Neurospora crassa OR74A: one gene and its partner. The protein of the gene in region 1 interacts with the protein of each later gene in a biochemical or structural test. Links are inferred from orthologs where the notes say so. Each region holds a gene or a part of one and is shown on either strand. Other genes may lie near its edges.

Region 1 (3,750 bases):
CAGCGCCCACCCTTAGGAGGTGCCGAAGAAGGAATACCGCGCGGAGCACTAAGCTCCCACATTTTGATGGTCTTGTCCAAACTGCCGCTGACAAGGTTGCGGCCATCAGGAGAGAAAGCAACACTATAGACGCTGTCCTTGTGGCCGTCGGGGCCCTCAAGACGCTCCGCAAGGTAGCCTCTCATGTCCCAGACACGGACGCTCTTGTCCAGGGATCCGGCAGCAACGAATTGCTTGTCGGGCGAGATAGCAACAGTCGTGACACCATCTTCAATAGAGAGGACAGACGTGTTCTGCCCGGTTTCAATGTCCCAAAGACGGACGGTTCTATCACCACTGCCGGAAGCAATAGTGCGACCATCGCGAGAAAAGTCAAGACTGTAGATATCTTGTTCGTGGCCATGGAAGGTGTTACGAATGGTCCTCGACTGAATATCCCAGACCTATATCGAGCATGTTAGCAAGAGAAGACCACAACAGTTGGCTAAGGCATTGACACGTACTCTGATGAGCTTGTCCTCGGCTCCAGTGGCAAGATACTTGCCATCAGGGCTGAAGCAGACGCTTCTGATGTAAAGATCTCCAGTAAGATCGATGTTTTCGTCCTGCAGGATGCAAAGCTTCTCGCCAGTCTCCACGTCGTAGATCTGAGCGGAACGGTTGCAGCCCGTGGCAACGTACTTGCCATCCATGCTGAACCTCACGCAGCAAACAACGCTCTCATGCTGAAGAGTGTGAACCAGCTCAACGTCTAGTACCCTGGGAACGGCCGCGTTGAAGATAACCCACCAATCGTCCTTCATCTTCTTGATGTGATTCGGAAGGCGGTCGGGATCAAGCTCGCTCAAAGCGTTGGTCTGAGAAGGCGGAGGCGGAGGAGGCTGGTGGTGCTGAGCCATCCGGGTATGGTCCGGGGTAGGATGGGTTGGGACCTGGGGCGACTGAGCAGGGCCGCCGTTGTACGGGATGGGAGTGTTGATTTGAGGAGTAGCCGGGCCGCCAGCGGGAGGTCTGCCGATGCCACGCTTGCCGGCAGGGCCAGGAGAGGCAGTGCTCTGGGGCGGCTGGGGAGGAAAGTTACCAGGTCCCTGGGGCCCTTGATACTGCTGCTGGAAGGGAGGCTGCTGAGACGGCGGCGGGGGCGGGGGAGGAGGACCCTGCAGCCCAGGGGGCGCAGGCATATGTGCTGGCTGTTCTTGCTGCTGCGGTGGAGGGGGAGGAGGGACCAAGGCCTGCCCGCCCTGACCTGCCATGATCGCGCTAAAGACATTGCTTCCCAAACCAATAGCAGGGGGCTGCTGCTGGCCAGGATGCTGTGGAGGCGGGTTCATGTTGCCGGGAGCGCCTCCGCGGGCTTCAAGCTGGCGACGCAGCAGCGCAATCTCATCCTCGTACCTGGCCGGATATTGTCAGCCTACTTCTTTCGAGTCTCGGATATGCTTGACCGGGTTTTTTGTTTGACTGGCTTACTTTTGCTTTACGTTCATCTGGTGCTGCTCCATCTGGAAGACTTTCTCACGGATGACCTGAAGCTCCTGAAGCTGCGTTGCCACTATTGTCTGGTCAGCCGGGTACACGTCCCAAAGCCTAAGTCGCTGATCACAGGCCCGAAACAGCCCGCATCACCATGTACAGCTGGATTCCCTCGTTGCCAGATGGGAGGAGGATGGCCACCCAGCGGAGGGATGTGTGGAGAAACCCTTACAATCATGCTGGCAGGTCTCGTACTGGCGAGCTTGTGATTCGAATTCCATTCTGATGCCATCGAGGAGCTCGTTGAGGCGACCCATGTTCTGAATGGGCGCGCCCGCAATGGGTCGGTGCGGATACATGGACATTTTGCGTAGTTGGGGCGGTTGTCCGCGTGCTATGTTTTGGTGAAGCCGACGAGAAACGGACAGAAATCCAAGCCGGGAACGCTAGGGCGGTCGCGCAGGTTTGCGAAAGCTCAAGACAGCAATCGGCTGAAGGAAGCGAGAACGAGGGATGCGACCGATGATACAAAGGCGGCTGGCTCGTAAGATGACGCAGCTGGAGTGCAGCCGGCGTGAGGTCGGAACGAGCGTCGAGCTACCGTGCGTTGGGATGGCGTGCGCGCGGGACGGATCGCAGCGCGAAAAGACGCAAAAGATGGGGACCGCGAGGGGGGCTCGGAATCCCTAGTCGAATGGCACTGTACACAACCAAGGGCCAATGACGGGATCCGAGGGGTTGATGGGGATGGTGATGCTGGCGTTGCGCCAATTCCGATGTTTGTTGTTGGGAGGACTTGAGCGAAGCAGTTAGGGCTGCAGGCTGCAAATGCTGGTGTTGCTCCGGAGTAGTGTTGCCAAAGGGGGGAGGAGAAGGAAAAAGAAGTGGAATGGCCAGCAGGTGGCAGAAATGACCTGGGCGTGCGGGTTCTGGGGCGGCTCCCGGTGTGGATTCCCATGGACTTGCAGCCAGCGACACCACTCCCACCTCCAGCGGCTGCGGGCACTTGGGTCTTGGACTTCCTTCTTGGGAGGACAGGGAGGCGGGCTGCCGACGGGCTGCGGACAGGGCAGCAAGCTCGCAGTTCCACTTGTCAGCCTGTGGCCTGTGGAGGGTGGCACCGGTCACGCACTTAGTACCTACCTAGTGCATGTAGTGTACATCGGACGGAACGAAGGTACTTTCGTCGTATCTTGCGACCGAGAGGTACGTGGCTTCCTTTGATGTCGTCGGTAAACGGACAAGTCACTGAGCTTGCAAAGTGCTCCAGGCAGTACCTCGCATAGTACCTCGCATAGTCCATGAGCCACCCGCCATTGCTACGAGTTCCGACATGGATAGCAGGGTTTAGGGTTCCCTGTGTTACCTACCTAGGCGTAGAATATGGAATGGTAAGGCCAGAAGTGCGATTGTGGAGAGCATCTGCACAAGAGTGGATCTACGAGATTCTGGAGACCCAGTCGTCAGTGTTCGTGCGCCAGTTACGTAGAGGTGCCGCCCTGGTCACTGCTGTGATGGTTCCATTCCCGGAAAGCGAAAGAAGGTCGGCCCGGGTTGGGGGAGTGCATTGACGGACTCACCCCTCGATGTCTGCTCACCGCGTCCTGTGGTTGGGCTTTGTCACTTACGAGCACAAGGTAGCTGGTAGATGCACGTACGATTGTACACTGCACCTGTGTCAGCATAAAATTTGTTAGCGCGGTGATCTGTAGGTGGCGAGAACTTAATTTTCGTACAAGAGATGGCTAGCTTGACCACATCTAAGCCCCTATATACTGTCCGGTGGCGGTAGCGCGCTAACAAGTTTGCTGCCAGCAAAGGTGTACACAGTACATTGGAAACTCTTTCTTGCCTTTTTTCATCTTCCCAAGTTCGGATTGATCCAGGCGGGCAATCAGCGACGGGTATCCTGAGAGGCTACCTTTGCAAACAGTGACTACCTCTACTGCAAGTGTCGATAAGGAAAACATTCCCTTCATCCGTTGGTTTTTAAAACCAGGTGATTGCGAGGCGTCTGCCATTAGGCGCAAAACTCCAGACAAAACCACAGAGTGGTCTCCACGGCATTACGTACACTACAGTACCGTGGGGCAGAAACCATCGTCCAAGCGCTTACACATGCGGTTTTGAAACAATGCAAACCACTGCACAAACACAACCTCAACTCCCACTGCCACCGCGATGAATGCTACGGCATACAGCACACCATAACGCACTCGGTCTGCACGATATCGATTTAGCACCTCAATCAGGCATAGTTTTTGAGATGGACTTTGA
Region 2 (3,750 bases), on another chromosome or scaffold:
GTTCACTGTAGTGAGGGCGGGCGGGATGGTAGGCGGGACCTAATCGACGCACCCTTGGCTGCATTATGTAAGCATCCCGTCCTTAACCACCTCACTGCAGTTGGTCGTCTGGACAGCGCGGGTTTCGGGCTGTGATTCTGAGGAGAGGGCAGCCAGAGGTCGGTGACCCAATGCCGCTGCCTGCCATGCTGCCAGAACCTAGAAGTACACCCGCTGTTCCGCCCCCGCCTTCCACTTGTAGTTCCCGGCCGGGGGAGCCTCCATTCGGTTTCCGGTTCCCATCCGAGTGAATAGCCTCACGCATGGCATTGGGTCTCTCCCCAACATGGAGAGATCAACGGAAACTGAGAGATCACCCAATAATGATACCCTAGAGGCCGACAGCAATCACGAACCGTCGAGCATACTGGTGTTCCCACGGGTACACTACTGGAGACTCCAAGGAACAGCCCCAAGTGAGATGCTGAATTTCCATACCGTGACCTCTCTAGCTACTGTACTGAGCTACCTGTACGTTTTTCGATTTCCCAAATCCAATTGGAAGATCATGGGGAAGTACCGAGTCGACTGATGTTGACCCATTAACTACCTCTAGGTACCAGCTAGTGTACCTTGGCTTGACTTCCCCAGCAACCGAGCTTCTTTCTGGGTGGGCAAGTCTCTCTGTCTCTACTTACCATAATCATCGCCGTGCACACTCACATTGAAAGCGACCTGAATGGAGGCCGGGTTGTGGGCGGCGGTTCCTGAATGCCGGACGCACTGTGCTTACACTAGTACTAGTACAGTATTCGAGCAAGAGCCAAGCGTTTTCCATCACAGGCAGAACACTGCGGTGCCGGTGCCATTCATAGGTAGTTGCATCTGATTTGATGCCGCCCTGACAACACCATGTACTGCCATTTTCCCTTTGAGAAGCAAACGAGACCCATTCGACGACGGTAGGTGCAATTTCACTTGGAAAGCTTTGCTCAACTCGACAACAACCTGAACCAGACCCGACCTGCAGCGAGCAATGAACCGAACCCCCGCCTCCCCTTCAGGTTCCCATTACCCCAAATAATTTCCCCTTGTGTGCAACAACGAGTTTCGTTGTCTTCCACCATCGATGTTTGTTTGAACCACATTTCACTTCAAACCCTTTTCGGTTTTCAAGATGCCCCTTATTCTCTTGTCGGTCCAGGTTGGACACGGGCTTCACCTATTGAGGCGTGATGTCATAGCACGAACCCTCCCCGACGGACGGTACCAGTAATTCACCACTCTACGGCCTCTACATACCTATGCATACGACTTTCTTACATCAAACTATATCTACTCGTCTCTGGAAACTGAACAGCATCGACAAGCCGGCTTTCGACGCCGCATCCCAGAGATCATTGATATCCTGGTCGAGCTGGCCCATTATCTTTTTCCCGGCACCGGATTGGTCAACATGGGGACCGAGCTTCCAGATGGCCCCGCACGCTTTGGCGCTGCCACTGCCGCTACCGTGAGGAGGAGTGAGGAGGTGCCTGAGTGACGGACGGGATCAGACCGGGGTTGGTGGGTGGGTGGGCGGCAGCCAGAGTGGGTGCCCGGGCGGACAGCTTTCTGCCAAAATTTACTGCAAGCAACTGCAAGAGCGCCGTGTCGGGTTGGTGGTGGTGGTGGTGGTGGTGGTGGTGGTGCATCGTGGTGCCGTGGTGCGGTGCGGTGGTCCCGTCTTTTTTGGGGCTGGCAACTCGACTAGGTCCCGGGCTCGGTTTCCACCATTGTACACACACCAAGAGAGACCAGCCATCGCTTCCTCCTTCCAGGCAGTGCCGTCCTCGCTCTCCTCTTTTCTGGAAATCCTCACCACGTACACCCTGGGCCACAGACACGAAAACCCGACTTGTCGAACTTTGTTATTTCCGTCATGAGAAATAGTTTACCACCCACCTACCACGTCGACCACCGCTCCCCGATCTCCAATTTGGCGTAGCCAGCACTTCGGATCCCGTCATAGACATCTCGTCTCGCCGTCCTCCGTCCCCTCTTCTTCGTTTTTTTTCCCACCCTCGTACCCGCTCAATCTTTTACCCAAGTTAGCAGCGAACGAGTCTTGCTTTCGTGGACATTTACACAAGCAAGCCGGCGACATCCTCATCTCGAGCACGCCCCCGATCGAGCACCCTCCTCACTTGGCTGGATTTTCGACCTGAGCCCTCGCGATCCTCCGCCGTCGGTCGATCCATCCTCGATAATTTACGCTTCTCTACCACCAAGCACCGGCTTCAAGCTACGATTCGAACCTAGCACGAGTCTCATAACCTCGACACCTTCGATTGCATCTTTACTCGACGATTGTGTCAGATTCAATTTGCGGTCGAGACTCGGCCTCGTCGAGTCCTCGCTTCTCCGTGACCACATCGACAGACGACCGCGTGATTCGGGTCTGCTCCCGCCATCACGCCCCATTACTTCTCCGACCATCCACATCGCAATTGTCGAGCTTCAAGTAAAACGAAATTGTTTTAGTGCTAGGGTGCGTCATTGTCCCCAGGCACTCCGGATACCCGACCGCAGAACCCCCTCCCAACGGGCCTGCGGATCGCGTTCTTCTCTTCGACACCAATCGTGTCGATTATATACCCTACATACTTCGAGCTCCTGCCTTGACTGCGGCCCCAGCTGCAAGCAATGGCAGGGTCCGATCCGAGGCGGTCGTCAAGAGCGCGAACCTCCCAATCACAATCGCAAATCTCGTCCAGCACGTCCAGCACGTCAGGTCGTGGTGAGCGCAGCACCAGGTATTTCAACAAAGCTGTCTCACCACAAAAGTCAAGCTCCTCGGGATCGCTATCCTCTGAGGCTCCAGACGAGACAATTACAGCGGACGACTCGTTTGGTACCCGGCGTCGTACCCGCGGTCAGCAGGAAGAAAGAGAGAGGGCAAATAACAAGTCTGAGCAGGTCGAAATGGCACACGGCGACGATGACGCTCAAGACGAGGACGAGGCCGTTCGTTGCATTTGCGGCTACGAGGACTACCCAGGCCCTCCGCCGTTTGACGAAGACTCCAAGCATGGCTTGAAGGACGGCATGGATATCGATCCCATATTCGCGACCGATGTCACCGACGATGCGGCCGGATTTTTCGTACAATGCGACATTTGCAAGGTCTGGCAACATGGCGCCTGCGTTGGCATTATGACCGAAGAGTCAAGCCCAGACGAATATTTCTGCGAAGAGTGCCGCAAAGAATTCCACAAAATTTTCACAGCGAGCAACGGGTAAATCTTGCATTTCTTTGGTCCCGTGGCTGCATGGTCGGGAGCTGAACGTCAAAAGTTCAGCTGGAGTGCGTCAAAGCCCATCACACGCCTTTGACGTTGCCTCACCTTTCATGCAATATCCTCCTCCATCCACGACAATTGTCAAATCACTCTCCAGTCGACTGACGACATGATTCACAGACAACGCTATTCGCACTACCTACCCCTTAAGCGCCCCTCTCGAACCACTTCTAGATCCGCCTCTCTCAACAAGGATGGCACGAGATCACCGCCCAAAGATAAACCGGAGGGCCGCAACGGACGTGGTACGACCACTTCCTCCGCGTCGAAGCGAAGATCTACAATGAACAGCCGAGGCGCTGACTACGACGAAGCTGAAGCCCTGAGACGGGCGATTGAAGCAAGCAAAGAAGATGCAGCTTCTGAACAACCCGAAACTACCACGAGAAGAACAAAGCGAGGCAGAAGCGATAGCGAAGAGTAGGTCCAC

Evidence for each region.
Region 2: the proteins of rco-1 (region 1) and NCU02121 form a complex in vitro, tested with the Saccharomyces cerevisiae proteins (2 studies listed by BioGRID). The link is inferred for Neurospora crassa OR74A from reciprocal best matches to the Saccharomyces cerevisiae genes TUP1 and CTI6.

Annotation. Positions count from the first base shown.
Region 1 is NC_026503.1:1,905,094-1,908,843, forward strand, and holds the start of rco-1 (transcriptional repressor rco-1), read right to left. Parts: upstream 2,359-3,750; 5' UTR 1,839-2,358; coding exon 1,706-1,838; intron 1,553-1,705; coding exon 1,471-1,552; intron 1,396-1,470; coding exon 504-1,395; intron 444-503; coding exon 1-443. UniProt on the Saccharomyces cerevisiae protein: Acts as a component of the CYC8-TUP1 corepressor complex which is involved in the repression of many genes in a wide variety of physiological processes including heme-regulated and catabolite repressed genes.
Region 2 is NC_026501.1:1,173,983-1,177,732, reverse strand, and holds the start of NCU02121 (transcriptional regulator), read left to right. Parts: upstream 1-1,226; 5' UTR 1,227-2,664; coding exon 2,665-3,257; exon of another isoform or gene 3,258-3,429; coding exon of another isoform or gene 3,430-3,440; coding exon 3,441-3,740; intron 3,741-3,750. UniProt on the Saccharomyces cerevisiae protein: Component of the RPD3C(L) histone deacetylase complex (HDAC). Responsible for the deacetylation of lysine residues on the N-terminal part of the core histones (H2A, H2B, H3 and H4).